Linked DNA regions of Macaca fascicularis. Each later gene encodes a partner of the first gene's protein in a complex. Links are inferred from orthologs where the notes say so. Each region holds a gene or a part of one and is shown in the gene's direction. Other genes may lie near its edges.

Region 1 (10,384 bases):
AATGTCTACATCTTGAAACAAACAGATGTACCTAATGAGCTTCTCCATTCACTTTGTAAAAATAAGATTTGTATGTGTACCATCTTGGTCCTCTCCCCTCCCCCATTTTGTTAAAATATCAGGATAGCACTCCCAGGCCACTTTGGTCTCAGTGTAAGATCCCTATTAACTATCTGAAAGGAAAATAGAGCCAAGACCTCTGGTCTCAAATATATAGGAATTGCCTTTCTTTAGTCTTCAGGACTATTGTGTGAAAACAAGTAGGGGTCTAATCTCCTAGAAGGTAGGGGCTTTTATCCTTAAAGAGAATATGTCCCCAGATTATTAGCACTTTTAGAGGAGAAGCCAAGGTATGTAGGGTGTGTGGCTGGCCCATCAGTGGAGCACGAGAGAGAATGGGATACCATTGTGGGAAGAGAAAAGTTCCTCAGGGGCCTCCCACTGCTAAAGCTTTTTGTGAGATGTTGATCTGTGCTTCCTGGATTTGACTTTTAAAGGAATTATTCTGGCAGCACATGTAGTATTCTTGGATGATCTTGCTGCTCTTATTTCTCCTTTTGTGTGTGTGTGTGTGTGGCTATGGGTTTTCATTTGTAACTCCATCTGCTTAGGAGAGTGGGCTCTCTATAAGGGAACCTGCTGTAAACTTCATTGCAGCAAGGATGTAGAGAGAAATAGGACTTAATTCCACTAGGGGCTCTCATCTCACACCTTAAGGAGAAGGAGATTTCTAGAAAAACTGGGCCAGATTTTCTTTGTTCTCCATCATTTTAATGTGGCAGGATGTTCAATTTTTCTTACTCTTACCTATGTTATATTTCTTCATAACGTGTCCAAAAAGAAGAAAGACACAATCAGTGTCTCTTAACTTTGTTCTTTGATCCCTCTCAGTTTCTTCTTGATTTCAGCATGTGTCAGATTCCTAATTTTGGATATGAGTTAGCAAATTTAACCATTATGTTTGTGCCCTACCCAGGGGACTCCCCAGTTTCTGACTTGAAGTAGACTGAGAAGAATCCACGAGGTGCTATTTGGCCAGACTTAAGTAGATTCTCTTTCCTTGGTTCTCCCTCTCCCTGAGGACCTCTTATTTTATTGTCCCCTCTTCTAGGTTAATTCTCCTTTGATTTGACTTTGTTGAGAAGGAGGTTGGAGAGTAGATTAGCAAAGTTCCAAGTGCAAAATTACAGTGTGTTAGAGTGTGGGGGGAAAATTAGTCTTATTTTTCCCTACATGGGATACAACACTGTGAATTCAATCTTCAACTGAAGGCCCTGCAGTTCTCCTAAAACATAGTTGTTTGTTTTTCTTTAACAAAGTTTAAGCTAGTGTTAATAAATTAAAAAAAAAATTGCTTGTCTGTCTACTTCAGCTTTGTTTTATGCCCATTTCATATTGTTGTCTGTGTTGTAATTCATAACTTTTGATACCATTTCTGATGTGTAAAATTGGTTGTCTTGTAAATATCTTATAAAGAGTTCAATTGTAAATAAACTATTGTGGCTGTTAATTTTTGAACTTCTGCTTCAATTTATTATATTTATTGGCAAACATTAAACAATTCTGCTTGTATATTTGAAACATTGGAAAAAGAAATCCATTTCCACAATAAAAAAGAGTAACACATTATTTTCCCCTTTATATAAGATACTCACTTTCATTTGTATATAAGTAGAATGTATGTTTCATCCTTCTCAATTGTCTAGTGTGCTTCCTTAAGTATAATCAGCAACTTGGCTGAGTGCAGTGGCTCACGCCTGTAATCCCAGCACTTTGGAGGCTGAGGTGGGCAGATCACTTGTGGTTAGTGGTTCAAGACCAGCCTGGCCAACAGTAAAACACGGTAAAATCTCATCTACTAAAAATACAAAAATTATCCAGGTGTGGTGGCATGCACCTGTTATCCTAGTTACTTGGGAGGCTAAGGCAGGAAAATCTCTTGAACCTGGGAAGTGGAATTAAGCCAAGATCAACCTGCTACACTCCAGCCTGGGTGACAGTGAGACTCCATCTCAAAAAAAAAAAAAAAAAAAAAAAAGACTGGTCAAAAAAAAAAAAGGGGGGTGCTGGGCATGGTGGCTCACATTTGTAACCCCAGCACTTCGGGAGGCTGAGGCGGGTAGATCACCTGAGGTCAGAAGTTCGAAACCAGCCTGGCCAACATGGTGAAACCCTGTCTCTACTAAAAGTACAATAAATTAGCCAGGTGTGGTGGCAGGCACCTGTAATCCCAGCTACTTGGGAGGCTGAGGCATGAGAATCGCTTGAACCCAGGAGGGGCAGAGGTTGTGGTGAACCGAGATCATGCCATTGCACTCCAGCCTGGGTGACAGAGGGAGACTCCAACTCAAAAAAAGAAAAGTATAATTAGCAACTTCAGAAACGAGATTATAGGATACTTGGTCCCTGGTGTCTAAGTTAACAAAATCTTACAGTTGGAAAGACCTTAGAGGTCATCTAGTGTGACCCCGATACATGATTTACCCTTGATAACATTCCAGAGGAGCAAATTCCAGCTTCTGCTTCAACAATTTGTTTTTTACATTACATTTTTCCCCCTAAGTGTTTGAAAATTCTTGCTTGTTGACAAAAATCTAACTTCTTGTAACTTAAACCCATTGGTTTTTGCTTTGCCTTCTAGGATAATGAAAAAAAGATCAATCCCTCCTTTTCTTCATAGTCCCTAAAGATTGCTGTGGCTCGAGGCCGGGCAAGGTGGCTCACGCCTGTAATCCCAGCACTTTGTGAGGCCGAGGTGGGCGGATCACGAGGTCAGGAGATCGAGACCATCCTGGCTAACACGGTGAAACCCCGTCTCTACTAAAAATACAAAAAAATTAGCCGGGCGTGGTGGGTGGGCGCTGGTAGTCCCAGCTACTCAGGAGGCTGAGGCAGGAGAATGGCATGAACCCCGGGGGGTGGAGCTTGCAGTGAGCGGAGGTCGCGCCAAAGCACTTCAAGCCTGGGTGACAGAGCGAGACTCTGTCTGGAAAAAAAAAAAAAACAAACAGGCCGGGCGTGGTGGCTCAAGCCTCTAATCCCAGCACTTTGGGAGGCCAAGACGAGCGGATCACGAGGTCAGGAGATCGAGATCATCCTGGCTAACACGGTGAAACCCCGTCTCTACTAAAAAATACAAAAACCTAGCCGGGCGAAGTGGCGGGTGCCTGTAGTCCCAGCGACTCGGGAGGCTGAGGCAGGAGAATGGCGTAAACCCGGGAGGCAGAGCTTGCAGTGAGCTGAGATCTGGTCACTGCACTCCAGCTTGGGCGACAGAGCAAGACTGTCTCAAAAAAAAAAAAAAAAAAAAAATTAAATTGGACCCAGACCAAACAACTGAAGGACAAAGTGGCAGACTATCACTTTCCTTATTTAGACACTAAACTTGGCAGCCTTATTTGCACCAGTTTAGCTTATGATCGATAAGATCCTCCAGGTCTTTTACTTTAACACTTATTAAATCATATATCCTCCATTTTGAACTCAGGCAGTTGGCTTTTGGAGCTGGACTTACAAGTCGTCACGTTTGGCCACTTGTCTAATTAGCTGAGATTGTTTGAATTTTTTTTCTGAGACGGAGTCTCGCTGTTACCCAGGCTGGAGTGCAGTGGCTCCACCTCGGCTCACTGCAAGCTCCGCCTCACGGGTTCACGCCACTCTGCCTCAGCCTCCCAAGTACCTGGGACTACAGGCGCCCGCCACCTTGCCCGGCTAGCTTTTTGTATTTTTTAGTAGAGACGGGGTTTCACCGTGTTAGCCAGGATGGTCTCGATCTCCTGACCTCGTGATCCGCCCGCCTTGGCCTCCCGAAGTGCTGGGATTACAGGTATGAGCCACCGTAACCGGCCTTGAATTTTCATTTAATCTCTGAAGGCATTCATAATTACTTCCAGTTTCATGTTGTCTATAAATTTGATAAACATCAGGATCCTTAACCATGTTATTTATAAAAATTCTACTCAGGAAAGGCTGCACGTGTTGGCTCACTCCTGTAATCCCAGCACTTTGGGAGGCTGAGGCGGGCGGATCATGAGGTCAGGAGATTGACACCATCCTGGCTAACACGGTGAAACCCCGTCTCTACTAAAAATACAAAAAATTAGCCGGGCGTGGTGGCGGGCGCCTGTAGTCCCAGCTACTCGGGAGGCTGAGGCAGAATGGCGTGAACCCGGGAGGCGGAGCTTGCAGTGAGGCGAGATGGCGCCACTGCACTCCAGCCTGGGCGACAGAGACTCCGTCTCAAAAAAAAAAAACTTTTTTTTTTTTTTACTCAGGAAAGAATCCTATGCCATAGTGGCCTTTGTTTGATACATACATTATTAGCGTGCACTCCTGTAGGTACACTAAAAACTTAGCTCATGCACTTTGTATATCCTTATAATGGTACAAAGAAAATACATTGATTCTTTTCATTGGTGACAAACGCCTTGCCAAAATCAAAGAATTTCCATGAACCTTAAGAAGGAAATAATGTCAGGATTTTGAATCAACATCCGTTTCTACTGACCATTTATTTTTAAATAGGTTTTAAAATCCTCACAAGGGCAGTAGCTCATGCCTGTAATCCCAGCACTTTGGGAGGCTGAGACGAGAGGATCGCTTGAGCCCAGCCAGGAGACAAGCCTGAGCAATAGCGAGACCCCCATCTCTACAAAAAATAGAAAAATTAGCCGGGTGTGGTAGTGTGTGACGGTTGTCCCAGCTACGAAGGAGGCTGAGGCAGGGAGGTCACCTGTGCCCGGGAGGTCAAGCTGCAGTGAGCCGTGATCGTGCCACTGCACTCCAGCCTGCGCAAGAGACCCTGCCTCAAAACCAAACCAAATCAAACCGATAACACTGGCATCATACCAGCCTGCACTTTGGGACAGGTGATGGCTGGGGTGGGAAGAAACGTGAAGAGGAAATGAGAACACAGAGAAAACGCTGCAACAAGAAGTCCTCTGGCTTCACTGCAGACAATTGGTTTCTCCTTCGCTCGTTATCTTAAAAACCGGGCTGGTGTAGCAAATCTGACGCAGCACTACGGCTTTTAAGATTTACCTTGATTCGTGATATTACCAAGCAAAGGAATGCAGTAAATTGACCTGCTTCAAACGTAGGTAGAACTGAGAAACGGAAACAGAAAACCATGAAACAACCCCAGTGTTGCAGTAAAGCTGTGACAGGTCGATGCCTTCCACTCGGGAAGCCCAAGATGGCCGGGCCAGGAACCCGGGAAGCAGCTGAATTCTCAATTCCCCTCGCCCTAGGCCTGCCTAAGAGAAGTCAGAAGCCGCGCCACGCCCCCTTACATCACCGATAGACGTAATCCGGTTCCGCCGCAAACCTGCCGCAGGCCAAGGCCCCGCCCCGTGTCCCGCCCACCCCAAGCGGGATGGCTGAGCGCCGCACGCGCAGCACGCCGGGACTAGCTAGCGAGCCTCCCAGCAGCCTCTGGGACGGGCGCGGTGCGTAAGTAGCTCGCCGGCGGTGGCCGTTCTCCGTAAAATGGCGGACCGGCGGCGGCAGCGCGCTTCGCAAGACACCGAGGACGAGGAATCTGGTGCTTCGGGCTCAGACAGCGGCGGCTCCCCGTTGCGGGGCGGCGGGAGCTGCAGCGGTAGCGCTGGAGGCGGCGGCAGCGGCTCTCTGCCTTCACAGCGCGGAGGCCGAATCGGGGCCCTTCATTTGCGGCGGGTGGAGAGCGGGGGCGCCAAGAGCGCTGAGGAGTCGGAGTGTGTGAGTGCGCGCAGGCGAGGCGGGGCGGGGTGGGGTGGGGACCGGGCGGCGAGCCGGCCGGCCGGGGGCGGGGTGTAGGTGATGCTAGGTGTCTGGGAGTTGATAGTAGATACTGGGACTTTTTTTGTTGTTTTTACGAGAAAAGGGGAGTTATCCCAGTGCGAGTTTGCATCCGGAGTTCTAAGGGAAGAAGGATTGGGGGTTTCTGGGAGGATGGCAGAGCCGCTGGGGATGGAAAGCGGATGTTTATTCAGAAATCGGGTCTGGAGGGAAGGAGACCAGATCTGCCTTGGCTACTAAAGACCAGGCCTGCCTTGGCTACTACTTGTCTCTCTCTCCGACCATTTTGTGCTCATTCTTCAGCTCTTCACCCACATTTCTTTATTGGGCTCTCCACCTCTGGAAATCACAGAACTAACCCATGTCTTCTACTTTCCTTCAGGAGAGTGAAGATGGCATTGAAGGTGATGGTGAGTAGCATCTTTTACCCCATTAGGACAAGAGTTTTTTTTAACATAAACTCAGAAAATCTATTTCCAACTGTCGACATTCTCACACACGGATTTAGGGCCACAGAGTGGCTTTTTGTAGTATAGTGCTTAAGAGCATAGGTTTTAGCAGTGTAGTCTTGTGCAAGTTACTCTGAGTCTGTTTTTCCTTCTGTAAGTGGAGACTATAATTTTATCCACGTTGTAGGTTGATGTCAGAATTAAATGAGACTCTTAGTCTGACCTATAATAAGCAGCCAAAAAATGTTTCTGGGTTTCTGTTTTTCCACATATTTCTGTTTTATTTCAGCTGTTCTCTCGGATTATGAAAGTGCAGAAGACTCAGAAGTGAGTATGACAGGTTTTTTCCTATGGTACAGATCAGAAATGCTTTTAGAAAGTGTACACACCTTCGTTGCAAACGTACCATGACCTCCGTGTTTATCCTCTTGTGTATTCTTCATTTATGCTTCTGAGAAAGTGTTACAGAATGTCTTGTTCTCTTTAGACCTAGGGAAAACTTGGGGCATGCCGTCTCAAGCCACAGGTGTTATACTTTTAGTTGACTTCTCTTCCTGTCTGAAGAATATGAGATTCTAAATAAGAGAATGAGTACATCTTGAAGTCCTCTGAAAGATGTTTGACAGTTTGTTTTATGCAGTGGAGGTTAAGAAGCCAGCCAGTTGGATATTTTTTTCGTGGATTTTTTTTTCCAAATCTATCTGAAGACTTTGAAAGGGTAGGATTCTGAATGTTTTGTGCCAAGAGCATCCATCATTTTATAGGTGGGGATTTCTCTGTTTCTAGGAGAGTTTCCTGTCTTTTGGATAAACTACTAGAGATGCCATCAGAATAAATGTTTGTTTTCTGGGTTGTTGAGTGGAGTCCTGAGTTCTGCTAATGGGATTATATACAGGGGGAATTGGATAGTGGATCAAAGATTTTGTCTATAAATTTTTAGAACCGTTACTACATTTTAGAATCTGTTAAGCCCTTGAAGATGGAACAGTGAACACTATAACAAAATTCCTATCTTTAGAGATCTTACAACTTAATAAGGAAGTCAGACAAACATTCAAGCAATTGTACCACTTGCTGATAGAGGATAGCGCTGGGATAGGGCTAAGTAGGGTGTTATAGCTGGGCACTGAATCCATCCTAGTCAGTCAGGAAAGATTAAGAGTTGACTGGGTAGAATGTGTTCTAGGCAGAGGGAACAACAGTCAAGAAAGCCCATAGGGGCTGGGAGCAGTGGCTCATGCCTGTAATCCCAGCACTTTGGAAGACTGAGGCAGGCGGATCACTTGAGACCAGGAGTTTGAGACCAGCCTGGCCAACATGGTGAAAACCCATCTCTACTAAAAAATAACAAAAATTAGCTGGGTATGGTGATGTATGCCTGTAATTCCAGCTACTTGGGAGGCTGAGACACGAAAATTGTTTGATCCCAGGAGATGGAGGTGGCAGTGAGCTGAAATCATGCCACTGCACTCCTATGTGGGTGACGGAGTGAGACTGTCTTAAAAAGTAAATACATAAAAAAAAAAAGAGGCCAGGCACTGTGGCTCACGCCTGTGATCCCAGCACTTTGGGAGGCCGAGACGGGCGTATCACAAGGTGAGGAGGTGGAGACCATCCTGGCTAACACGGTGAAACCCTGTCTCTACTAAAAATACAAAAAATTAGCCAAGCATGGTGGCGGGCGCCTTGTAGTCCCACCTACTCTGGAGGCTGAGGCAAGAGAATGGTGTGAACCCGGAAGGCGGAGCTTGCAGTGAGCTGAGATCGCACCACTGCACTCCAGCCTGGGTGACAGAGCGAGACTCCGTCTGGAAAAAAAAAAAAAACCCATAGGGGTACAAAAAAGTAATAATACTTAGGATGAATAAGATCTAAACCCAGCGCAATGGCTCACACCTGTAATCCCAGCACTGTGGGAGGCCAAGGTGGGCCAGTCACTTGAGGCCAGGAGGTCAAGACCAGCCTGGCCAACTTGGCAAAACTCCATCTCTACTAAAAATACAAAAATTAGCAGGTCGTGGTCACGCATGCCCGTAATTCCAACTACTCAAGTGGCTGAGGCAGGAGAATCCCTTGAGCCTGGGAAGTGGAGGTGGCAGGGAGCCATAATCAACACCACTGTAATCCAGCCCGGGCAACAGAGCAAGACTCTGTCTCAAAAAAATTTAAAAAATAAGAATGACTAAGATCTAGAATTTCATATTTGCAACATGGTGACTACAGTCAACAGTAACTTATTGTATATTTAAAAATAACTATTGGCTGGGCGTGGTGGCTCAAGCCTGTAATCCCAGCACTTTGGGAGGCCAAGGTGGGTGGATCACGAAGTCAAGAGATCGAGACCACCCTGGCCAACATGGTGAAATCCTGTCTCTACCAAAAATACAAAAATTAGCCGGGGTGTGGTGGCGCGCGCCTATGGTCCCAGCTACTCAGGAGGCTGAGGCAGGAGAATTGCTTGAATCTGGGAGGCAGAGGTTGCAGTGAGCCGAGATCACGCCACTGTGCTCCAGGCTGGTGACAGGGCAAGACTCCATCTCAAAAAAAAAAATAAGTGTCAATAAAAGAATGTAATTGAATTGTTTGTAACAAAGGATAAGTGCTTGAAGTGATCCGTACCCCATTTACCCTTAACATGATTATTACACATTGTATAGCTATATAAAAATATCTCATGGGCCGGGCGCAGTGGCTCACACCTGTAATCCCAGCACTTTGGGAGGCCGAGTCGGGTGGATCAGCTGCGGTCAGGAGTTCAAGACCAGCCTGGCCAACGTGGCAAAACCCTGTCTCTACTGAAAAGAAAAATTAGCGCCGGTTGCGGTGGCTCAAGCCTGTAATCCCAGCACTTTGGGAGGCCGAGGCAGGCGGATCACAAGGTCAGGAGATCGAGACCATCCTGGCTAACACCGTGAAACCCCGTCTCTACTAAAAAAATACAAAAAACTAGTCGGGCGTGGTGGCGGGCGCCTGTAGTCCCAGCTACTTGGGAGGCTGAGGCAGGAGAATGGCGTGAACCCGGGGGGCGGAGCTTGCAGTGAGCCGAGGTCGCGCCGCTGCACTCCAGCCTGGGGCACAGAGTGAGACTCCGTCTCAAAAAAAAAAAAAAACAACAAAAAAAAGAAAAATTAGCTAGGCGTGGTAGCTGGCGCCTGTAATCCCAGTGACCCAGGAGACTGAGGCAGGAGAATTACTTGAACCCAAGAGGTGGAGGTTGCAGTGAGCTAAGATCGTGCCATTGTGCTCCAGCCTGGGCAACAAGAGCGAAACTCTGTCTCAAAAAAAAAAATCTCATGTACTGCATAAATATATATACCTTCTATGTATTCACAAAAATTAAAAACTTTCTTTTCTTTTTTTGTTTGAGATGGAGTCTTGCTCTGTAACCCAGACAGGAGTGCAGTGGCGTGATCTTGGCTCACTGCAACCTCCGCCTCACAGGTTCAAGCAATTTTCCTGGCTCAGCCTCCTGAGTAGCTGGGATTACAGGTGCACGCCACCACACCCGGCTAACTTTTGTATTTGTAGTAGAGACGGGGTTTCACCATGTTGGCCAGGCTGGTCATGAACTCGACCTCAGGTGATCTGCCCGCATCATCTTCCCAAAGTACCAGGATTATAGGTGTGAGCCACTGTGCCCAGCCCTCTTTTTTTTTTTTTTTTTTTTTTTAAGAAGAGGCAGGGTATCACTCTGTTGCCCAGTCACCCAGGCTGGAGTGCAGTTGTGGGATCACAGCTCACTACAGCCCCCAATTGCTGGCTTCAAACAGTCCTCCTACCTTGACCTCCCAGAGTGCTGAGATTATAAGCATGAGCCGGCATGCCCAGCCAAAAAAAATTAATTTTTTTTTCTTTTTTTTTTTTTTTTTTTGAGACGGAGTCTGGCTCTGTCACCCAGGCTGGAGTGCAGTGGCTGCGATCTCGGCTCACTGCAAGCTCCGCCTCTCGGGTTTACGCCATTCTCCTGTCTCAGCCTCCCGAGTAGCTGGGACTATAGGCGCCCGCCACCTCGCCCGGCTAGTTTTTTGTATTTTTTAGTAGAGACGGGGTTTCACCGTGTTAGCCAGGATGGTCTCGATCTTCTGACCTCGTGATCCGCCCGTCTCGGCCTCCCAAAGTGCTGGGATTACAGGCTTGAGCCACCGCGCCCGGCCTAA
Region 2 (10,384 bases), on another chromosome or scaffold:
GTGTGGTGGCACATGCCTGTAGTCCCAGCTACTGGGGAGGCTGAGGCAGAAGAATTGCTTGAACCCGGGAGGTGGAGGTTGCAGTGAGTCAAGATGTAAGCCAAGATGGTGCCACTGCACTTCAGCCTGGGTGATAGAGCAAGATTCCGTCTCTAAATAAATAAATACATAAATCTCATTCATAAATGTTGAGAGAAAGGAGACTAACATAAAAGAATACATGCTGTATGATTCAGTTTACGTAAAGTTCAAAGCAGACAAACTCAATAGTATTAGAAGTCATTCATAGAAGGATGTAGCTGCTAAAAAAGAAAAAGCAAAATGGATAGTGATATTCTTGGTGGTGAAAATGACTGGGAACAAGCAGGAAGAGAGCATCTGGAGTGCTGGCAATGTTTTGTTTCTTGATCTGCATGCTGGTTACATAAGTGTGTTCACTTTGTGAAAATTCAGCAAGCTGGATACTTTTAGTGCACTTGTCTGTACACGTGTTATACTGCAATTAAAAGTTTCATTAAAAAGGAAGTCTACAGTATGTGTTAGGCAGAATAATATCTCCTCCAAAGTTGTACACATCCTAATCCCCAGAACCCAAGACTATGTTAGGTTATACAGCAAAAGGAAATTAAGGTTGCTAATCAGCTGTCCTTAAAATAGGGAGATTATCCTGGATTTTACAGGTGGACACAATGTAAACACAGGAGTCCTTAAAAGTGAAAGGGGAAAGTGGGGAGGCCGGGAGTTGGAGACCAGCCTGGGCAACACAGTGAGACCCTTTCTCTACAAAAATAAAAATAAATTAGCTGGGCATGATGGCATGCACCTGTAGTCCCAGCTATTTGGGAGGCTAAGGCAGGAGGATCACTTCAGCTCAGGAGTTTAAGGCTTCAGTGAGCTGTGACCCTGAAAAAACAAAACAAAACTTGGAATGGCAAGGCAGAGAGTAAAAGAGATACAGACAATAGACAGAAGTAGGGGCAGGGTCAAAGAGAGACGCTATGCTGCTGGCTTTGAAGACAAAGGGTTCACAAGCCAAGAAATACGGGCTGCCTCAAGAGTCTGAAAAAGACAAGGAAATCAATTATCTCCTAGAGCCTCCAGGAAGGAACTCAGTCCTGCCAACACTTTGATTTTAGCCTAGTGAGACCCATATTGGACTGCTTATTTATTTATTTATTTATTTATTTATTTATTTTTACTTTTTTTTTTTTTTTTTGAGATGGAGTTTTGCTCTGTCACCCAGGTTGGAGTGCAGTGGTGCAATCTCACTGCAAGCTCCACTTCCTGGATTCACGCCATTCTCCTGCCTCAGCCTCCCGAGTAGCTGGGACTACAGGTGCCCACCACCACGCCTGGCTAATTTTTTGTATTTCTCGTAGAGACGGGGTTTCACTGTGTTAGCCAGGATGGTCTTGATCTCCTGACCTCGTGATCCCCCACCTCGGCCTCCCAAAGTGCTGGGATTACAGGTGTGAGCCACCGCGCTCAGCCTTACTATATTTTTTGCCCCCTCACAGGACAAACTTAAAACCTTGTTGGACTTTTAACCTACAGAACTGTAAGATAATACACTTGCATTATTTAAACCCACTAAATTTGTGGTAATGTTACAGCAGGAATAGGAAGCTAATACAGTTGGTGTGGGGGAAGATCAAGTGTTCGGTTTTGGATGCATTCAGTGGCTGAACACGTTAGACGTCTTAAGTGGAGATGTTAAATAGGCAGTTGGATACATGACTCTGATGATTTCCAAGGCTCATAAGAATGGCCAGGTACTGAAAGAAAGAGTAACAGATCCCAAATACAGGGAAACAGTTTTGGCCACAGGAATAGGAATCCAAAAATAGGCTGGACATTTAGAGTGAAAAAATTTAAGTGCAGAGTCAGGGGAATATATTCTAGAGGTCAGCAAAAATGGGAGTTGGCCCTGAGGCAGCTTTCTGCCTTGGGCTCCTATTGCATCTTTACTTTGGTTTTTGTCCTCTATGGGTGTCTGTCTGTCTCTCTCTCTCTCTCTTTTTTTTTTGAGATGGAGTCTCACTCTGTCACCCAGGTTGGAGTCCAGTGGTTCTACCTCGGCTCACTGCAATCTCCGCCTCCCAGGTTCAAGTGACTCTCCTGATTCAGCCTCCCAAATAGCTGGGACTACAGGCGCCCGCCACCATGCCCAGCTAATTTTTGTATTTTAGTAGAGACAGGGTTTCACCAAGTTGGTCAGGCTGGTCTTGAACTCCTGATCTCAGGTGATCTGCCTGCCTCGGCCTCCCAAAGTGCTGGGATTACAGGCATGAGCCACCACGCCCAGCTAATTTTTTGTGTTTTTAGTAGAGACGGGGTTTCGCCAAGTTAGCCAGGCTGGTCTCGAACTCCTGACTTCAGGTGATCCATCCGCCTTGGCCTCCTAAATTGCTGGGATTATAGGCGTGAGCCACCACGTCCGGCCGACTGAAGTGCTTTCTATCATTGTGGTTTTACCTTTTCTAAAATTTCATATAAATGGAATTGTACAACATGTACTCTCTTGGTGTCTGGATTCTGTCACTCAACATAATCACTGTGAGATTCACTTATGTTGATGCGTATATCAATAGTTAATTTTTATTGCTGAGTGGCATTTCATTCTATGGCTGTACCATATTTTGTTTTATCCCTTTGCCTATTGAGAACATTTGGATTGTTTCCAGTTTGGAGTTATTATAAATAATGTAAAATTGGCCCTTTTTAAGTGAAGAGGGTGATCACAACTAAATCAAATTGGGTTTTATTTTTATTCCCTTCCCTGTGGGACATCAGTACCTGGGGAGAATGATCCTTTTGTAAAATAAGGTGATGAAAACAAATCTCGTATATTTTGGTCATATTACTCCTTTAAATATCAGTATCTTGTGTTTATTTATTATTATCCTTCTTTTTTAGATACAGGGTCTCGCTCTGTCGCCCAAGCTGGAGTGCAGTGGCGCGATCATGGCTCACTGCAGCCTCGAATTCCTGGGCTCAAGATCCTCCCTTCTCAGCCTTCCCTAGCAGCTGGGAATACAGGCGCGCGCCACTGAACTCGGCTAATATTGTAGTGTTTACTAAGTATCTGTAAATCCTAATCAATATAAGGAAAATAAATTTTTTTTAATGTTAGGCTCTTTCTTTGAGTTGTAGGAAAATAAATTCTAAAGCCTCTGAATTCAAAGACAAAATATACAAGTCGCTCCCCTAGTGAGGCAAAATTTGGACGGCATTGAGTTTATCCGATGGAAACTAAGCGTGCAGAACGTATCTTTCGACCTGAAAAACTCTGAAGATGAAAGGATTCGATTTACTTACAAACAGGGACCCTGAGATACCTCTGGCTCCTGAACGCCCAACAAAAGCGGGCAGCTGCTTTGCATGCCGGGACTTGTAGTCCCCGACAGAGTCACTTCAAGATGGCGGAGTTGCTAATGACGCGCGAAGGGGCGGGCCCAGAGGGAGTCTGCGCCGCGAGGGGATTGGGTGGCACAGGAACTTGGCGGGCGGGAAGTAAAAACCAGGTGTTAAAACCTTTGCACTGGGAAAGGCCCAAGTCTCGCGAGAGCTTGGCAGGCCCCAGTGGAACGTGGGGCCCGACTTATCATAAGGGGCATTTGTTGGGGGCGGAGCTTTGACGGGAGCTTCCCTGGAGCCGTTGGTGACCGGGGTAGCCCCGTTCCGGCCGAGCCGCTTCAGCGGGGGACGTAGCCATGAAGGAAGAGAAGGAGCACAGGCCTAAGGAGAAGCGAGTAACCTTGTTAACCCCCGCCGGGGCCACAGGCAGCGGTGGTGGGACCTCGGGGGACAGCTCCAAGGGGGAAGATAAGCAGGATCGCAACAAGGAGAAGAAAGAAGCGCTGAGCAAGGTGCCCGGTCGGCCGCTGGCCCGGGAGAGGGCGGGACGGGTCCGCAGCGCGGGGAGGATGGCTGGGAATGGGGCCGGCCCCTTTCTCTCTCAGGTTCCCCTTCTTCTCTTCGCCTGAATGGAAGTCGCACCATCCTGGTTTATCCTTTCTCCCGAAATGGGGAGAGCCCCTCCCGGCCAAATCCTGGGTAGGGGTGAGGAAAAGGGGGGACTCCCCAAACGGGAAGGGTTTAGGTCAGAGCTGTGAGGTGATAATGGGAAGAGAGAGCGACGGTATAAAGAATGAGGAACTAAAGGTGTAATTGGGGAGAAATATTAAATACTGAAGGAGACATCAGGGATGGGAATATTATTCATGGAGGCGAGTTGGGGGAGAGTTCAGGGTGATTAATGGTACGGGAGGGTAGATCGAGAGCATCCTATTTTGAGAGCAATGGGTGGATTTTTTGTATTCGTTAGAGTTTTGAATTCTTAAGTTCAATGGGCAAGGATTTTGTTTTAAGATGTGTTGGACGTGGGAGAAACTTGTTACTAAATCAAGATTTCGTGGCACCCACAAAGACCAGGGTTGGCTTACTAATTTCTTGCCACTAGATCTGTTAAAAAATGGGTGATCGAAAATGATGCACAAACCTGGTAAACTGCAGGGCTGCTGTAAAGAGCAAAACCTGAGATTTTTCCCTGCTCCAGGTGGTTCTCATTTCCAAGCGTTTTTTTTTTAAAACCGCGTTACTATTATCTTTGACTACTTCTGAGCATTGGGCTGCAGAATATTTTCTCCTGGGTTTTTACAAGTGATCTCATATTTTAAAAAGCCCAGTCTTCTTCAGGAACTGTGATTCTTTCAGGTATGAGAGAAAATTGATTTTTACTAATTTTATTTTCCTTATGCATTTCTTAAGGTGGTAATTCGAAGATTACCTCCCACTTTGACCAAGGAGCAGCTTCAGGAACATCTTCAACCTATGCCTGAGCATGATTATTTTGAGTTTTTTTCTAATGATACGAGGTAAAAAAAAAAAAAAAAAAAAAAAAAAAAGGAAAGGGGTAAATGAAAAAGGTTTCTTTCACTCTTTTTATCCTACTGTTTTCCATTTAATTTTTGAGCTTGTCTTTAATATATGCATACTTGTAATTGGGCCAGACACCTGCAAATACATTTACATAATTGCTTTCCTCTCTGCAGTTTGTATCCTCATATGTATGCCAGAGCATACATCAACTTTAAAAACCAAGAGGACATTATTTTGTTCAGGGATCGCTTTGATGGTTATGTATTCCTTGACAATAAAGGTGAGTTCTGGTAACTGAAATAAAAAGGGAATTTCTTTGTCATTCTTTGTCATTTGTATGTTTAAGACAGTGTGTGCATTGCGTTGCTTCCTGGGTGATAAAATGTGCAACATTTAAGTAAAGAGTTTTACACATTTGATAAGCTTGTTGCAGTCTTATAAATAGACATGTGACTTTTCACAGTCCTTGGTTACTTTTATTAACTTACTATTTTTTTAATTTGATCAACTGAGTGAAATTGCAACTGTTTTCTCCTCGTGTGACAAATTTTTTGCCCTGGCTTAAACCTGCTGTTTTGACTATAGAGTTTCAGCTGCAGTACTGATAAGTGACTCTTAAACTTGTTTGATAAGTTTTAAATATTTACTTCTTATTTTGCTTCAAAGACAAACATTTATTTAATTCAAATCCATTAAGCCAACAGTTCCCAGTTGGGATACTGTTGAACATTCTCACAAAGTTGTATATAATTAAAACATGAAACTTGATACATTGGCCGAGCACGGTGGCTCACGCCTGTAATCCCAGCACTTTGGGAGGCCGAGGCGGGCAGATCACGAGGTCAGGAAATCGAGACCATCCTGGCTAACACAGTGAAACCCCGTCTCTACTAAAAATACAAGAAATTAGCCGGGCATGGTGGCGGGTGCCTGTAGTCCCAGCTACTCGGGAGGCTGAGGCAGGAGAATGGCGTGAACCCAGGAGGCGGAGCTTGCAGTGAGCGGAGATCGCACCACTGCACTCCAGCCTGGGCGACAGAGCAAGACTCCGTTCCAAAAAAAAAAAAAAAAACTTGATACATCTCGGCCCGGTGCGTGGCTCTCGCCTGTAATCCTGTAATCCCAGCACTTTGGGATGCCGAGGCAAGTGGATCACGAGGTCAGGAGATCGAGACCAGCCTGGCCAACATGGTGAAACCCCGTCTCTACTAAAAATACTAAAAAAAATTAGCCAAATGCGGCGCCTGTAATCCCAGCTACTCAGGAGGCTGAGGCAGAAGAATCGCTTGAACCCGGGAGGCAGAGGTTGCAGTGAGCCGAGATCACGCCACTGCACTCCAGCCTGGCGACAGAGCCAGACTCTGTCTCAAAAAAAAACAAAAACAAAAACAAAAAAAACCTTGATACTTCTCTTACTTTATATCTAGAAAGGTCCAGTCTATAGGCAAGACACATTTCTGCTTTAACACTCTATTATATGCTACCTACAACATTTAGCCAGAGAATGTCTAAGCTGCCATTTGCCACTTTTCTTTTTGGTTTGCAATTATAGGTAAATAGTGTGTCTTCTTGTTTAGTTTTGTTTTTTTCAATATTCCTTCAAAGTTGGTAAAAATTAAATTTTTGTCAGGGACTATGCCAGTAAAAATTGAAGGATTGCCAGTGTTTATCCAACTTTTATTAATCTCCCCAAGCCAGCTATTTTTCCACTCCAACTATTTTATTCCAGTAGATATTTAACTAGATTCTAGTTACTTAGCCTGGAAATCTGAGTTGTGTTTAATTTTTTCCTTTTTTAAAATCTCTTACATGTAAGTTATGAATCTTGTCAATTTATTGTTTATCTTTTGAGACAGGGTCTCCACCCAGGTTGGAGTGCTGTGCCGCAATCATAGCCCACTGCAGCCTGGAATTCCTGGACTCAAGCAACCCTCCCACCTCAGCCTCCTGAGTAGCTGGGACTACAGACGCGTGTCACCATGCCTGGCTAATTTGCTTTAAATTTTTTTATAGAGCTGGGGTCTTGCTATGTTACCCAGGCTGGTCTTGAACTCCTGGGTTCAAGTGATCCCCCCACCTCAGCCTCCCAAAGTGCTGGGATTACAGGTGCAGGCCACCGTACCGAGCCCAACACCACTTATTAAAGAGACTATCCTTTCCCCATTGTGGTTTTTGTTTGTTCGTTTGTTTTGTTTTGTTTTTAAATCTTAAAGACAAGGTCTACTTATATTGCCCAGGCTGGATTTTATTGTTTTTTTAATATCTTGTTCACCTAGACTTTCAGTCACACTTTATGTTCTCATCATTTAATGTCTAGACAACCACTGTCTCTAAACTTACAGGATTTTCCATTTTTCCCATTCTTGTATAATTCAGTCTATTATATTGCCATGAAATTAATCTTTTTGAAAATAATGATTTAAACTAACGGTTGGGGGAAAAAAGTCCAAACTCCTTAGCCTGGTAGTCAGGGTCCTCCATATTCTGGCCTCACTTCTGTTTCTTCAGCCTGTCTTCCACAATTTCCCTCTGTTTCAGTCTGGTTTATCTATTCCTTCTCAAATATATTTTGGTTTTTGGTTTGTATTTTTGTTTTTATCATTTTCTTTCCTTTTTTCTTTTCTTTTTTTTTTTTTTTTTTTTTTTTTTTTTTGAGACAGACCATTACTCTGTCACCCAGGCTAGAGTACAGTGGCACAATCTTGGCTCATTACAACCTCCACCTCCTGGGTTCAAGCAATTCTCGTTCCTCAACCTGTCGACTTAGCTGGGATTACAGGTATGTGCCACCACGCCCAGCTAATTTTTGTAATTTTAGTAGGGATGGGGTTTTACCATGTTGACCAGGCTGGTCTCGAACTCCTGGCCTCAAGCAATCCACTCGCCTCAGCCTCCCAAAGTGCTGGAATTACAGGCATGAGCCACCATGCCTGGCCTAATATATCACAGTTTTGAAGCTAATCTGATTCTGTACTCACTGGGATTCCCAACATAATTTTTCCTTTATGACTGCTTTGCAGTGCCTTCTGGTCAATTCTATTTATTTTTATTTTTTTTCTTATGTCTATATGCCAGTGATTTAAGGATAGGATACCTTGTTTTTGACATTCTGTGACAGGGTGCTTGTGAATTTTTTTCCCATTAGTCACTTGAGGGTTTTGTATTGAAATATAACTCACCTATAGTAAAATTTATCCTCTTAAAGCGTACAATTCAGTGGTTTCTGGTATATTCACAAAGTAGTACAACCATCAGTACTAATTCCAGAATGTTTTCATCCCTCCAAAAAGAAACCCATATCTATTAGTAGTTACCTCCCATTCTCTCCCTCCAGCCCCTGGCAACCACTAATCTACTTTATATATCTATGATTTCCCTCCATTTCATATAAATGTAATCATACAATATGTGGTCTTTTCTGACTGGCTTTTTTTACCTAGCACGATGTTTTCAAGGTCCATCCATGTTGTAACATATAACATGTCATTATCTCATTCCTTCTGCTTTTTTTTTTTTTTAACGGAGTCTCGCTCTGTAGCCCAGGCTGGAGTGCAGTGGCACGATCTCGGCTCCCTGCAAGCTCCGCCCCCCGGGTTCACGCCATTCTCCTGCCTCAGCCTCCCGTGTAGCTGGGACTACAGGCACTCGCCACCACGCCCGGCTAATTTTCTTTCTTTTTTTTTTTTTTGTATTTTTAGTAGAGACGGGGTTTCACCGTGTTAGCCAGGATGGTCTCGATCTCCTGACCTCGTGATCCGCCCGCCTCGGCCTCCCAAAGTGCTGGGATTACAGGCATCAGCCACCGCGCCCAGCCTTCCTTCTGCGTTTTTAAAAATTGTAAAATACACATAACATAAAATTTACCATCTTAACCATTTTAAGTGTACAGTTCAGTAGCATTAAGGTATATTCACACTGTTGTGCAACAATCTTGGGAACTTTTTCATCTTGCAAAACTGAAACTCTTTACCCATTAAACAACTTATTTCCTTTCCTGCAGCCCCTGGCAACCACCATTATACTTTGTGTCTCTATGAGTTTGACTACTCTAGGTACCACATATAGGTGGAAACATACAGTGTCTGCCTGGCTTATTTCATTTAGCATAATATTCTCAAGGTGTATCCATGTTGTAGCATGTGTCAGAATTTTCTTTCTTTCTTTTTTTTTTTTTTTTTTTTTGAGATGGAGTCTTGCTCTGTTGCCCAGGCTGGAGTGCAGTGGCACGATCTCAGTTCACTGCAACCTCCGCCTCCTGGGTTCAAGCAATTCTCCAGCCTCAGCCTCCCAAGTAACTGGGATTACTGGTGCCCACCACCACGCCTGGCTAATTTTTTTTGTATTTTTGGTAAATACGGGGTTTCACTGTGTTGGGCAGGCTTGTTTCAAACTCCTGACCTCAAGTGATCTACCTGCCTCAGCCTCCCAAAATGCTAGGAATTACAGGCATGAGCCACTGCCCCCAGCCTCATTTTTAAGACTAATATTCCATTATATGTATATACCACATTTTGTGTATCCATTCGTCTGTCAAGGGGTATTCGAGTTGCTTCCACTCTTGGCTATTGTGAACAATATTGTTATGAACACAGATGTGCAAATATTCGAGTCCCTGCTCTCACTTCTTTTGGATATATACCAAGAAGTGGAATTTCTGGGGTCATTTGATAATTCTATTTTTATTTTATTATTTATTGTTTATTTTGAGACGGAGTCTATCTGTGTCACACAAGCTGGAATACAGTGGCATGATCTCGGCTCATTGCAACCTCCGCCTCCCAGGTTCAAGCAATTCTCCTGCCTCAGCCTTCTGAGTATCTGGGATTACAGGCACGGGCCACCACACCCTGCTAATTTTTTATATTTGTGGTAGAGATGGAGTTTCACCATGTTGGCCAGGCTGGTCTCAAACTCCTGACCTCATGTGATCCCCCCACCTCGGCCTCCCAAAGTGCTGGGATTACAGGTGTGAGCCTCTGCGCCCCGCCGGTAATTTTTTTTTGTTTTTTGTTTTGTTTTTTGTTTTTTTGAGATGGAGTTTCACCCTTGTTGCCCAGGCTGGAGTAAGTACAATGGTGCGATCTTCCCTCATTGCAACCTCTACCTCCTGGGTTCAAGCGATTGTCCTGCCTCAGCCTCCTGAGTAGCTGGAATTACAGGTGCCCACCACCACACCCAGCTCATTTTTGTACTTTTAGTAGAGATGGGGTTTTACCATGTTGGTCAGGCTGGCCCGGTAATTCTGTTTTTAATGTTTTATGGAACTGCCATACTGTTTTCCATGGCAGCTGCATCATTATACATTCCCACCAATACATGAGTGTTCCAGTTTCTGCACATCTTTGCCAACACTTGTTATTTCGTGCTTTTTTGATAGTAGTCCTCCTAATAGGCGTGAGATGATACCTCATTGTGGTTTTGATTTGCATTTCCCTAATGACTAGTAATGTTGAACGTATTTCCATATGCTTGTTAGCCATCTGTATACTGTCTTTGAAGAAAT
Region 3 (10,384 bases), on another chromosome or scaffold:
TTTTAGGGTATGGAAAATTTAGAAGGTTAAAGAATTACTGCTTCAATTTTTCAGTTAAAAAAAATCAGGAAGCTCTGTTCATTCAGGCTATGCACCATGTGCACAGTCAAGAATTAGCAGAAAACCTCTGCATTTACAAACACTTTGTGCTATAAAAAGTAATTTTTAAAAAGCCACTTGTGTGTGTGTGTATATATATATATATTTAAAGCCAAGGTTTTGATACTTTTTTACAAGAACTGCAAGAGAAAACAGATACCTGTCCAAACCATATACTTTTAAAATAGCATTTTTTTTTTCCATACAAGCTGTTGTTAATTTGGGGGTAAAATGCTGGTTTGCAAACTTCATCAAATTGTTCCCAAGTGGATTTTCCTTGTTTGTCTTCCCCCACCAACCCTCAAGTTACCATATTCGATGTAAGAATCAGGCATGTTAGAATGTTGTGTCACACTAACCAGTTCTGCTCTTTTTGTCTTTTCATTCAAGTTCCATTAGCTTCTGTGCGCGGTGCCCTTTGCAGTCTGGTGTCTCTTCCAGAGGCAAGGGGGCTGAAGATGGCGTGCTGCATCTCACTAGCTGTACTAACATAATCTTGGTAAACTGAAAACCAAATGTGGACATTTGTAAAATCAGTGCACTGTTTCTAGAGAGAGATTAAATTCATTTTTAAAAAATCTTTAAGTATTGTTTCATTGTAATACTTTAATGAGCGGGAGTGAACTGAGTCCCTAATGTGTACCAGTATTCTACATACATTATCTCAATCTTTGTCAACAATTCGGTGAGGTAAATACTATCAATACTATCCACTCCCATTTTATAGATGAGAAAATGGGTGAAGTAACTGCCCAAAGTCACAAGGTTATTTTTAGTGCCCCCTAAGATCAATTGTAACGTAGCATTCTCTGCCTAAATTTTCCCTCTCTGCCTCTATATGACTAATTCCTATTTGTTCTTGAGTACTCCACTTAGGTAATGCCTCCTCCAGGAAGCCTTCCCTTCTCTCTAAGACTAGGTTAGATAACTCACCTCAGTACCTCTATAACAATTTTTGCCTACTTGCATCCCAATACTTCTGCCCTACCATTCATTCCTATGCCATTGGGGTTGCTTTTGCCAAGGTCATCCAGGACCTCCTCGATTATAAATCTGGTAAACATTTTCAGTCTTGATCTTTCTTGACCTGGAAGCAGTAGTTAACACTGTTAGCCACTCTTTTCTTGGAATACTCTTATTTTGGCTTCCATGATACCATATTCGTGGTTTTTCTCCTATCTCTCTGGCCACATCTTCGTCTCCTTTGCCCACCCTTTAAATTATGGTATTCCACTTCAAATCCATCCACTTTTCTATCTCCTTTACTTTTTTTTTTTTTTTTTTTTTAAAGAGACAGGGTCGCACTCTGTTACCCAGGCTGGAGTACAGTGGTAGGATCATAGCTCACTGCAACCTTAAACTCCTGGGCTTAAAGCAATCCTCCTGCCTCAGCCTCCTGAGTAGCTGGGACTACAGGCACATGCCACAATGCCTGGATAATTATTTTGCTTGCCTTTTTTTTTTTTTTTCTTTTTTTCTTTTTTTGACAAGGTCTCTTTCTCTGTTGCCCAGGCTGGAGTACAACGGCATGATCTCAGCTCACTGCAACCTCCGCCTCTTGGGTTCAAGCAATTATCCTGTCTCAGCCTCCTGAGTAGCTGGGGCTACAGGCGCATGCCACCCTGCCCAGCTAATAGATTACTTTAACTACTTATCTGAATGTCATACGTCTAGTCTTTTCATTTTCCAATCTAACCCACAACACTGCAGCCAAAGTGTCTTTCTAAAGTGCCATAGATGTATCACCACCACTTATTTCCACTTTCCTGTTTAAAGCCCTTCAACTGCTTTGCTGGCACTAAAATTCAATATTCTTGGGTGTGCCCAAACTCTTTTAATATGGTTTATAAAGCCCTTCATGATTCAGCTTCTGCCCCATCTCCAGCCTCATCACTCACTGCTCTATATTCTAATCACACAGTTCTGGGCCTCTGTCTGGAACATTTCCTTCAGGAACATTTCCCTAAGGACCCTACACTGTATTAGGAGTCACCTCATGTGCTTCCATAGTACTCTGTGCTTCCTTTACTGGAAATCTTATCCTTACATTGTAATTGCTTGTATGCTCCTTAACTTCCTCCTCTGCAAGCTCTGTAAAGAACTGTCTTGCCCAACATTGTATCCTCTCTCTCTGCACATGACACTCAGTGGATGCTCAATAAATGATGCTGAATGCAGGCACGGCAGACACACACAGACCATGCTCTTTCAGTTACACCACGTCTCATATCCAGAAACCTGGATTACTTTACAGCCTGACTGGAGTTGTGTGTCCTTTAAATTTCTCAACACTTTTGTTATTTGCCACATCTGAAGATCCCCAGATTCACTTATGATTTTTATAATTTTACTCCTGGAAAATAACCTTGTAGCAATTGCTTAATCCCTCTACACACTTAACTCTAATTACCACCTCAAAATTGTTGTGATGATTCGAAAAACAAGCACAGGTAATCCCATTCAGCCTAGGAGCTGACATTTATTAGGTGCTTGATGGTTCCCTTTTCTCTTTTTTTTTTTTTTTTTTTTTTTTTTTTTTTTTTTTAGATAGGGTCTTGCTTCGTCACCCAGGCTGGAGTGTAGTGGTATGATCATGGTTCGCTGCAGCCTTGACCTCCCAGGCTCAAATTATCCTCCTACCTCAGCCTCCCAAGTAGTTGGGACTACAGGTGTGCACCACCACACCTACCTAATTTTTAAATTTTTTGTAGAGACAAAGTCTCTCTATGTTACCCAAGCTGGTCTCAAACTTCTGGGCTCAAGTGATCCTTCTGCCTCAGCCTCCCAAACTGCTGGGATTACAAGTGTGAGCCACTGTGTCTAGCCCCCTTCTCTTTTATACAGTTCCCTTGTTACTACCAATATGCGGTGTTTTGTAATAAAAATGTCATGGTTTTATAGCAATTTACAGTTTCCGAGACATTGTTTCTTATAACAGTTCTGCTAGGTGTACGTTTTTATGCTCATTTTAAAGAGAAGGAAACTCTGAAGTCTAAAAAGTTGAGTCAGTTCACCTTTGGTTACAATGAGTCATTGTTAAAACAAAAGATTATTTTAACCAGTGTCCAATGGTTTTTTTCCCCCACCACACCTACTCTACACTCTGCTGCTAATGCTTTTTCAGGGAGAAAAGGACTCATTGTTAAGACTGGGGGCCATGCACGGTGGCTCATGCCTGTAATCCCAGCACTTTGGAAGGCTGAGGCGGATGGATCGCCTGAGGTCGGGAGTTTGAGACCAGCCTGGCCAACATGGTGAAACCCTGTCTCTACTAAAAATACAAAAATTAGCTGGATGTGGTGGCACGTGCCTGTAATCTCAGCTACTTGGGAGGCTAAGGCAGGAGAATCACTTGAACCCAGGAGGTGGAGGTTGCGGTGAACTGAGAACCAGCCGTTGCACTCTAGCCTGGGCAACAAGAGCAAAACTCTGTCTCAAAAAAAAAAAAAAAGACTGGGGGTAGGAATCAGAGACTGCTGTCCCGACTTACAGAATCTTATACTGTTCTAGTTGCCAGGCCCCAAGAATGATGTCATCTCAGCACTGTCTCTAGAACCATTCATTCTCTCTAAGTGTGGAACTTAGACGAGTGAGAGCAGGCTCCTATTAAATAATTATGATCTTGATTGCTCTGGCCCTACTCAACTGTAAATTTTTTCCAGAGCCAGAATGGCTTCACAGAGGACAACTTTGCTCTGAAAAGAGTCTCTTTGGTCAGTGGTCCTCAACTGAGAGCTTTACAAAGAGTACCAATGCCCAGTTCCAGCGCTGGAGATTTTAATTGGCTTGGGGTAGAGCCCTGGCATCAGTATTTTTAGAGGCTCCCCAGGTAATTCCAATGTGCAGCCAGGCTGAGAATCACTGCTCGGTAAGTGGGATGACTGGGGAGTGGGAGATCAAATACTCTAACTTCTCACAGCACCTATTCTAGAGATCAGTGGGGCAGAAAGATAGAAATAAAAGGTGGAAAAGGACGAAATGGGTAAGTGTGGGTGAACTAGTTCCAGGGAAACGGCAATCTCCACTGTGGATTCAGGGAAGGCGTCACTGAGGAGGGCTTTCTTAACAGTTCAGGTCAACGGAAGCCATCTTGAGGCACACACATCGTGCGCGGCATCCTCCGGGAAGGTCGGGTCATTTCACCCCATTTTACTGCCGAGATGACCTAGGTCCAGAGACGGTAAAGAGCGGTGTACGACTCACACAAGTCGGGGGTCCTGTGAACTGAGGTTGAGCCTGGCGGGGGCAAGGCTCGGGGTGTTCGGTCCGAGATCTTTAAGCGAAGTCACCAGACCCCGCGTTCAAAGCCCAGAGGTAGGCAGGCGGCTGGCTCTCGGCCTCAGGCCGGGAGAGAACCCAGCGGGTACCAACCTCAACCTCGCTCCCGCGTCCAAGTGGAGAAGCGGAGCTGGTTGGCCCCGCCTCCGGGTTAAACAAAGTTCGTTACCTCCTAGGCGTGAGAGGGTGTGGCAGTCTTGTTGTCACTTCCGGGCGAATAGGTTAGCTAGAAGGAACCCCTCCATTACGCGACGGCGTAATCTGACGTCACTTCCGCGCGCCGCCGCAAACGTCAGTGTCGGGCGCAGACCGCAGCAGTGCGGCTTGCTGTTGGAAGTTCAGGCTCGGTTGTCTTTTGGGAGCCATGGAGAGTGACTTTTATCTGCGTTACTACGTGGGGCACAAGGGCAAATTCGGCCACGAGTTCCTGGAGTTTGAGTTCCGACCGGATGGTAAAAGCAGCCTGCCGCCCGCCCGGAGCGGGACCAGGCCTTGGGGCGGGCGAGTGGGGAGGCCGAGGGTCGGAAATCTGTGGGGAACTAGAGGAGGAAGGGGCTGAGACCTGTGCAGTGCGGATCTGAAAGGAGCGCCACTGTGTCTGCTCCACGGCGTCGTTTTATCCATACAACAAACGTTGGCTGAACGCCCACTGTGTGCCAGGCTCTGTTCCACTCTTTGGGGATACGACAGCGAAGATAGACAAACTTCCTCTCTCGTGGAACTTGTGTTTTACTGCTGGGAGAGAGATCATAAAAAGATGATTCCGGATAGCAGTGAGTGGTCAGAAAATATGGTAGAATCGCTGGATGGGCTGCTTTTAGATAGGTTGGCCATTAGAGAGCTCTAATGGTATATTGCAGCTGAGCCCTAATTAGCAAGAAGGACCCAGCCTTGTGAAGCTCACAAGGAAGACCATTCTACCCAAAGGGAATACCAGAAGTCAAGGCTGCAGGGCGGGAATGAGCTTAGGCATGTCTCAGGTGGTCAGTGTGATTGAAGAGTGGTGAGCTGGGAGATGGCAGGAGATGATGTCGGATAGGTAGTAGGAGCCGCACCTTGTAGATCTTTATAGACCAGGGTAAAGAGTTTGGACTTGGAAGGCTTTTTTAATTTTATTTATTTTTTTTTTTGAGACGGGTTTCGCTCTTTTTGCCCAGGCTGTAATGCTATGGCGCGATTTCGGATCATTGCAACCTCCGCCTCCCGAGTTAAAGCGATTCTCCTGCCTCAGCCTCCCGAGTAGCTGGTATTACAGACACCCACCACCACGCCCGGCTAATTTTGTATTTTTAGTAGAGACAGGGTTTCACCAGGTTGGCCAGGCTGGTCTCGAACTTCTGACCTCGGGCGATCCGCCGGCCTCGGTGTCCCAAAGTGCTGCGATTACAGGCGTGAGCCACCGCGCCTGGCCGGGCTTGGAAGGTTTTAAGCAGAGAAGAAATGTGATCTGTTCTTGAAAAAGCATTCTGGTTATTGGGTGCGGAATGGGCAACAGTGAAAACAGGGCTATTGATTAGGAGACTGTTGTCAAGACAAGAAAGATGTTGGGGGCCAGTCGCAGTGGCTCACGCCTGTAATCCCAGGACTTTGGGAGGCCGAGGTGTGCGGATAACTTGAGGTTAGGAGTTCGAGACCAGCCTGGCCAACATGGTGAAACCCCGCCTCTACTAAAAATACAAAAATTAGCCGGACGTGGTGGCAGATGCCTGTAATCCCAGCTGTTCGGGAGGCTGAGACAGGATAATCGCTTGAACCTGGGGCGGAGGTTGCAGTGAGCTGAGATAGTGCCAGTGTACTCCAGTCTGGGTGACAGAGCGAGACTGTGTCACAAAAAAAAAAAAAAAAAAGATGTCGGTTGGGACTACAGAGATAGTAGAAATGGAGAGAAAGATTTAGGAAACTGTTGGAGGCAGAATCAACTGGACTTTGATCGTTGATAGGATTTTTTTGGCGGAGGCACTGTGGTGAAGGAAAGAGGAATCAAAGATGACAGAAAACATCCATTAAGCGGGCCACAAAGATGTATCTGACAGGCCCCGACTGTGAGGGAGATGGATTTGTAAGCAGGGACCAAACAGCGTATTAGGTGTTGTGGTAAAAAGAAACAGAGGAGACTTGCAGCAGAGAAGGGGCACCTAGCCAAGCCTGAGGGTCAGAGGAGGCTTCCTACATAAAATGATGGGAGGAGGGGATGTGAGGTATTGATTAGGAGACCAAGAAGAGTCAAGAAGGCATTTTAGACAGCATGCAAAGAGGCTGAAAACCAAAAAGTGCTTGGGATGTTTCAGGCAGAAACCAAGTTGTTCGACTCCAGCTGTGTGAGAGAAGAATATTGCAGGAGTGAGGCTGGAAAAGCAGGCAGGGGCTTTGCTTAGCCGTATGCCATGTTGAGGAGTTTGGATTTTTTTTTTTTTTTTTTGAGATGGAGTCTTGCTCAGTTGCCCAGGCTGGAGTGCAGTGGCGCGATCTGGGTTCACTACAAGCTCCGCCTCCCGGGTTCACGCTATTCTCCTGCCTCAGCCTCCTAGGTAGCTGGGACTACAGGCGCCCGCCACCACGCCTGGCTAATTTTTTACATTTTTAGTAGAGACGGGGTTTCACCGTGTTAGCCAGGATGGTCTCGATCTCCTGACCTCGTGATCTGCCCGCCTCGGCCTCCCAAAGTGCTGGGATTACAGGCGTGAGCCACCGCGCCCGGCCGGATTTTAACCAGGAAGGCAGCGGAAAGCCATTGACTTTATCAAAGTATTAGAGTAACCTAATCTGATAGATCTGTTACCACATCACCTTGTCCACTATATGGACAGTGAACTGAATGTGAAGAAACTTGAGGCAGAGAGACAGCACAGAGACTGTTGGAATAAATTCACTGGGCTCATCTCACATGTATGTCTTCTAGTCTACATGTCTTCTGTTTCCTTCTATCTTCTCCTCATCCCCACCATGTATTCACATTAACCTGTTAGACGCACACATGGACAAAGGGTCTTGTGTACCAAATGTGCTCAGTGATAAAAGCAACAACTTTTCCATCACAGAAATAGAGTGTGGCACAGTCACATGATAATATATGTAAACAGCATCCTACAGTTTTCAAAATGTTTTCACAACTCATTTGAGCCTCAGGAGGTCCTATGTGCTGGTAAGTTATCATTTACTCTGCCTGTTTTCAGGACATTCACCTGCAAAAATGTGATTCGACAAAGTCAGAAAAGAGCCTGCCTGTGTTTTTACCTCACCTGAGCTGCTTTTTGCAGTAGTTGAGTGTCAGCTGTATATTTGGCTGTTTAAGCCTGAAGTGAAGAACTGAAAGACTAGTATTGTTGAACTACCTTAAGAGTAAATAATAAATGTCTTAGACACTTTGAGCAAGTTGGATACATTTTAGGCAACTGCCGATAGTCTTGGTATGGTATTGATGCTTTATTCATGTTTTTATTATATGTTGAATTTGGCTTTTGTCCCCACAGGGAAGTTAAGATATGCCAACAACAGCAATTACAAGAATGATGTCATGATCAGAAAAGAGGTATGCCTTCTGAGAGGCCTTCATTTTCTACATTTCAGCTTTTTGTCTTGCATTGTTTTTGTTGTATCTAGTATTGAAAGGTAAAGAACAGGGAGAGAGACACATGTCTGTAGACAGCTTCTGGATTATTTCCCAAATCATCTTTTAGTTGGGATTTTTTTATTTTACAATGTGGAATCAATTACTGGTAACCATTGACATACCTTGGTTTGAACCCTGAGTCTGCTGCTTACTACCTCATGTGACAGTGGGCAAGTTCCTGGCTGAACTTGATTAAATCTCTGTTTCTTCACCTGCAAAAACAGGGAAAATAAAAGCTACCTCCCACTCCCAAGTGCTGTCATAAAATTAAATGTGTTATACTTAAAGTGCTCTATATATTCCCTGGCACATAGTACACAATGGAGAGCTATTTAATTTGCATCTGAGTGGGAAAGGGAGCATGGGAAAGCAGTTGATATCATTGAATGCATGTTAGATGTCAGGCATGGCATCTTATTTAACCCTGATTATAAGCCCATGTGATGGGGGAGGGTATTATAGCCCCCTTACAAATAAGAAAATAAAGGCCCAGATATTAATTATGAGACTTGTTCAGAGTTACCCCTGCTAGTAAGAGATACAGCAGGAATTCCCAATTAAAGGAATTCCCCAGTAAAGTTTGTATTCTCCTCTCTGTGATTTCTACTACATCATTAAGGCTTCATCAAAGCTACTCTTTTAACCACTCTGCCACCTTTGAAAATGTCTTAGCATATATTTTTCATACTGTTGTTTTAGCTATCAGTTTCATGCTTATTCACACATGTCAACATTCTCACTATTTTTTTACACAGGCATATCTTTTCAAATACATTTTGCTCCTCAGGAGCGTATTACCTAGTTAAGAATAACTGGCCGGGCGCGGTGGCTCACGCCTGTAATCCCAGCACTTTGGGAGGCCAAGGTGGGTGGATCACGAGGTCAGGAGATCGAGACCATCCTGGCTAACACGGTGAAACCCCGTCTGTACTGAAAATACAAAAAAATATAGCCGTGGTGGTGGGTGCCTGTAGTCCCAGCTATTCAGGAGGCAGAGCGTGCAGTGAGTCGAGATTGCACCACTGCACCCCAGCCTGGGCCACAGAGTGAGACTCCGTCTCAAAAAAAAATAAACCAGGGCATGTAGGTGTTGCTGTCTCTTTTGTTTTGCTATAACAGAATACCTGAGACTGGGTAATTTTTAAGCCATAAAAATATATTTCTCACAGTTTTGGAGGTTGGGAAGTCCAAGATCAAGGCACTGGCAGGTTCAGTGATTAGTGAGGGCCCAGTCTCTGCTTCCACAACTGTGCCTTGTTTTTGCATCCTCCAGAAGGGATGAATGCAGTGTTCTCATATGGTGAAAGAACAAGCAAGGGGCCAGCTAGTTCTCTTAAGCTGTCTCCTAAGGCACTAATCCTATCCATGGGGGCTCTGCCCTCAAGGCCCAATCAACTCTTAAAGGCCCTATTGATTAACACCGTTGCATTGGGGATTAATTTCAACATGAATTTTGGAGGAGACACAAAAATTCAAACCATAGCAGGGGGCATTCACAGATCTATTTTGGGTTTCTTTGTGAGTTGGCTGTGTGGACAGGCAGAAGGGCCATGTAAACAGGATGTACCAGGAGGTAGTAACAGCTAGATGGGGGACTGAGGTGCAGTTTATTAGATACTTCTGACCCTGTCCCTCACCTGCATCATGCCGAGGTTGAGCATGAATGTCTTCCCACTTAAGAAGATGCCAGAAATAAGTCTGCAGGAACAGTTATTTTTATCTTCCATCACTATCTAAGTCAAAGCACTGCTTAAGGATACAACATACATTTTGTCTTTTAACTTGCTTTCAGGCTTATGTACATAAAAGCGTGATGGAGGAACTGAAGAGAATAATCGATGACAGTGAAATTACCAAAGAGGATGATGCATTGTGGCCTCCTCCTGACCGAGTGGGCCGGCAGGTATGTTTTATTGATTATCCTGTAGTGCAGAAATCTTACAAATAAGATGAGGTTTAGTGCTCTGCATATGATAGTGAAACTGTGTGCATGTGTGTGTGATGGTGGTGGTGGTGGTGGTGGTCAGCCCTGCAGAAAGCAGATTGCCAGCACCTTGGTCTAAGGAAGCATTAATCCCACAGGAAGGAACAGAGAGAACAAGTGCTGCTGGCCACCAAGAACCCAGCCTTGAATTTCTTCTTAGGACCCCCCACACTCCCTCCTCCACTTAAAGCTTTTGCTGCCTATCTCATTTACTAACTACTATGGACAAAGCATTGTGGAGATACAAAGAAAAATAGAACATGATTATTTCACCAATCTAATGAAAGGAAAATCATACAAATAATTCAGTATATGTATTTAAATTCATGTGTATTTATATACATTATATATTCATTCCGAGCACCGTTTTGTTAACTAAAAAATAAAAACCACTATCATATTGAACTGAATTA

The links.
Region 2: CASC3 (region 1) and UPF3B share a complex: the UniProt entries of both Homo sapiens proteins name them as parts of the mRNA splicing-dependent exon junction complex. The link is inferred for Macaca fascicularis from reciprocal best matches to the Homo sapiens genes CASC3 and UPF3B.
Region 3: CASC3 (region 1) and MAGOH share a complex: the UniProt entries of both Homo sapiens proteins name them as parts of the mRNA splicing-dependent exon junction complex. The link is inferred for Macaca fascicularis from reciprocal best matches to the Homo sapiens genes CASC3 and MAGOH.

Annotation. Positions count from the first base shown.
Region 1 is NC_088390.1:61,213,475-61,223,858, forward strand, and holds the start of CASC3 (protein CASC3), read left to right. Parts: upstream 1-5,462; 5' UTR 5,463-5,487; coding exon 5,488-5,718; intron 5,719-6,160; coding exon 6,161-6,188; intron 6,189-6,516; coding exon 6,517-6,554; intron 6,555-10,384. UniProt on the Homo sapiens protein: Required for pre-mRNA splicing as component of the spliceosome. Core component of the splicing-dependent multiprotein exon junction complex (EJC) deposited at splice junctions on mRNAs.
Region 2 is NC_088395.1:126,200,103-126,210,486, reverse strand, and holds the start of UPF3B (regulator of nonsense transcripts 3B), read left to right. Parts: upstream 1-3,636; 5' UTR 3,637-3,713; coding exon 3,714-3,869; intron 3,870-4,770; coding exon 4,771-4,877; intron 4,878-5,054; coding exon 5,055-5,161; intron 5,162-10,384. UniProt on the Homo sapiens protein: Involved in nonsense-mediated decay (NMD) of mRNAs containing premature stop codons by associating with the nuclear exon junction complex (EJC) and serving as link between the EJC core and NMD machinery.
Region 3 is NC_088375.1:181,430,884-181,441,267, forward strand, and holds the start of MAGOH (protein mago nashi homolog), read left to right. Parts: upstream 1-4,671; 5' UTR 4,672-4,741; coding exon 4,742-4,829; intron 4,830-7,847; coding exon 7,848-7,906; intron 7,907-9,779; coding exon 9,780-9,890; intron 9,891-10,384. UniProt on the Homo sapiens protein: Required for pre-mRNA splicing as component of the spliceosome. Plays a redundant role with MAGOHB as core component of the exon junction complex (EJC) and in the nonsense-mediated decay (NMD) pathway.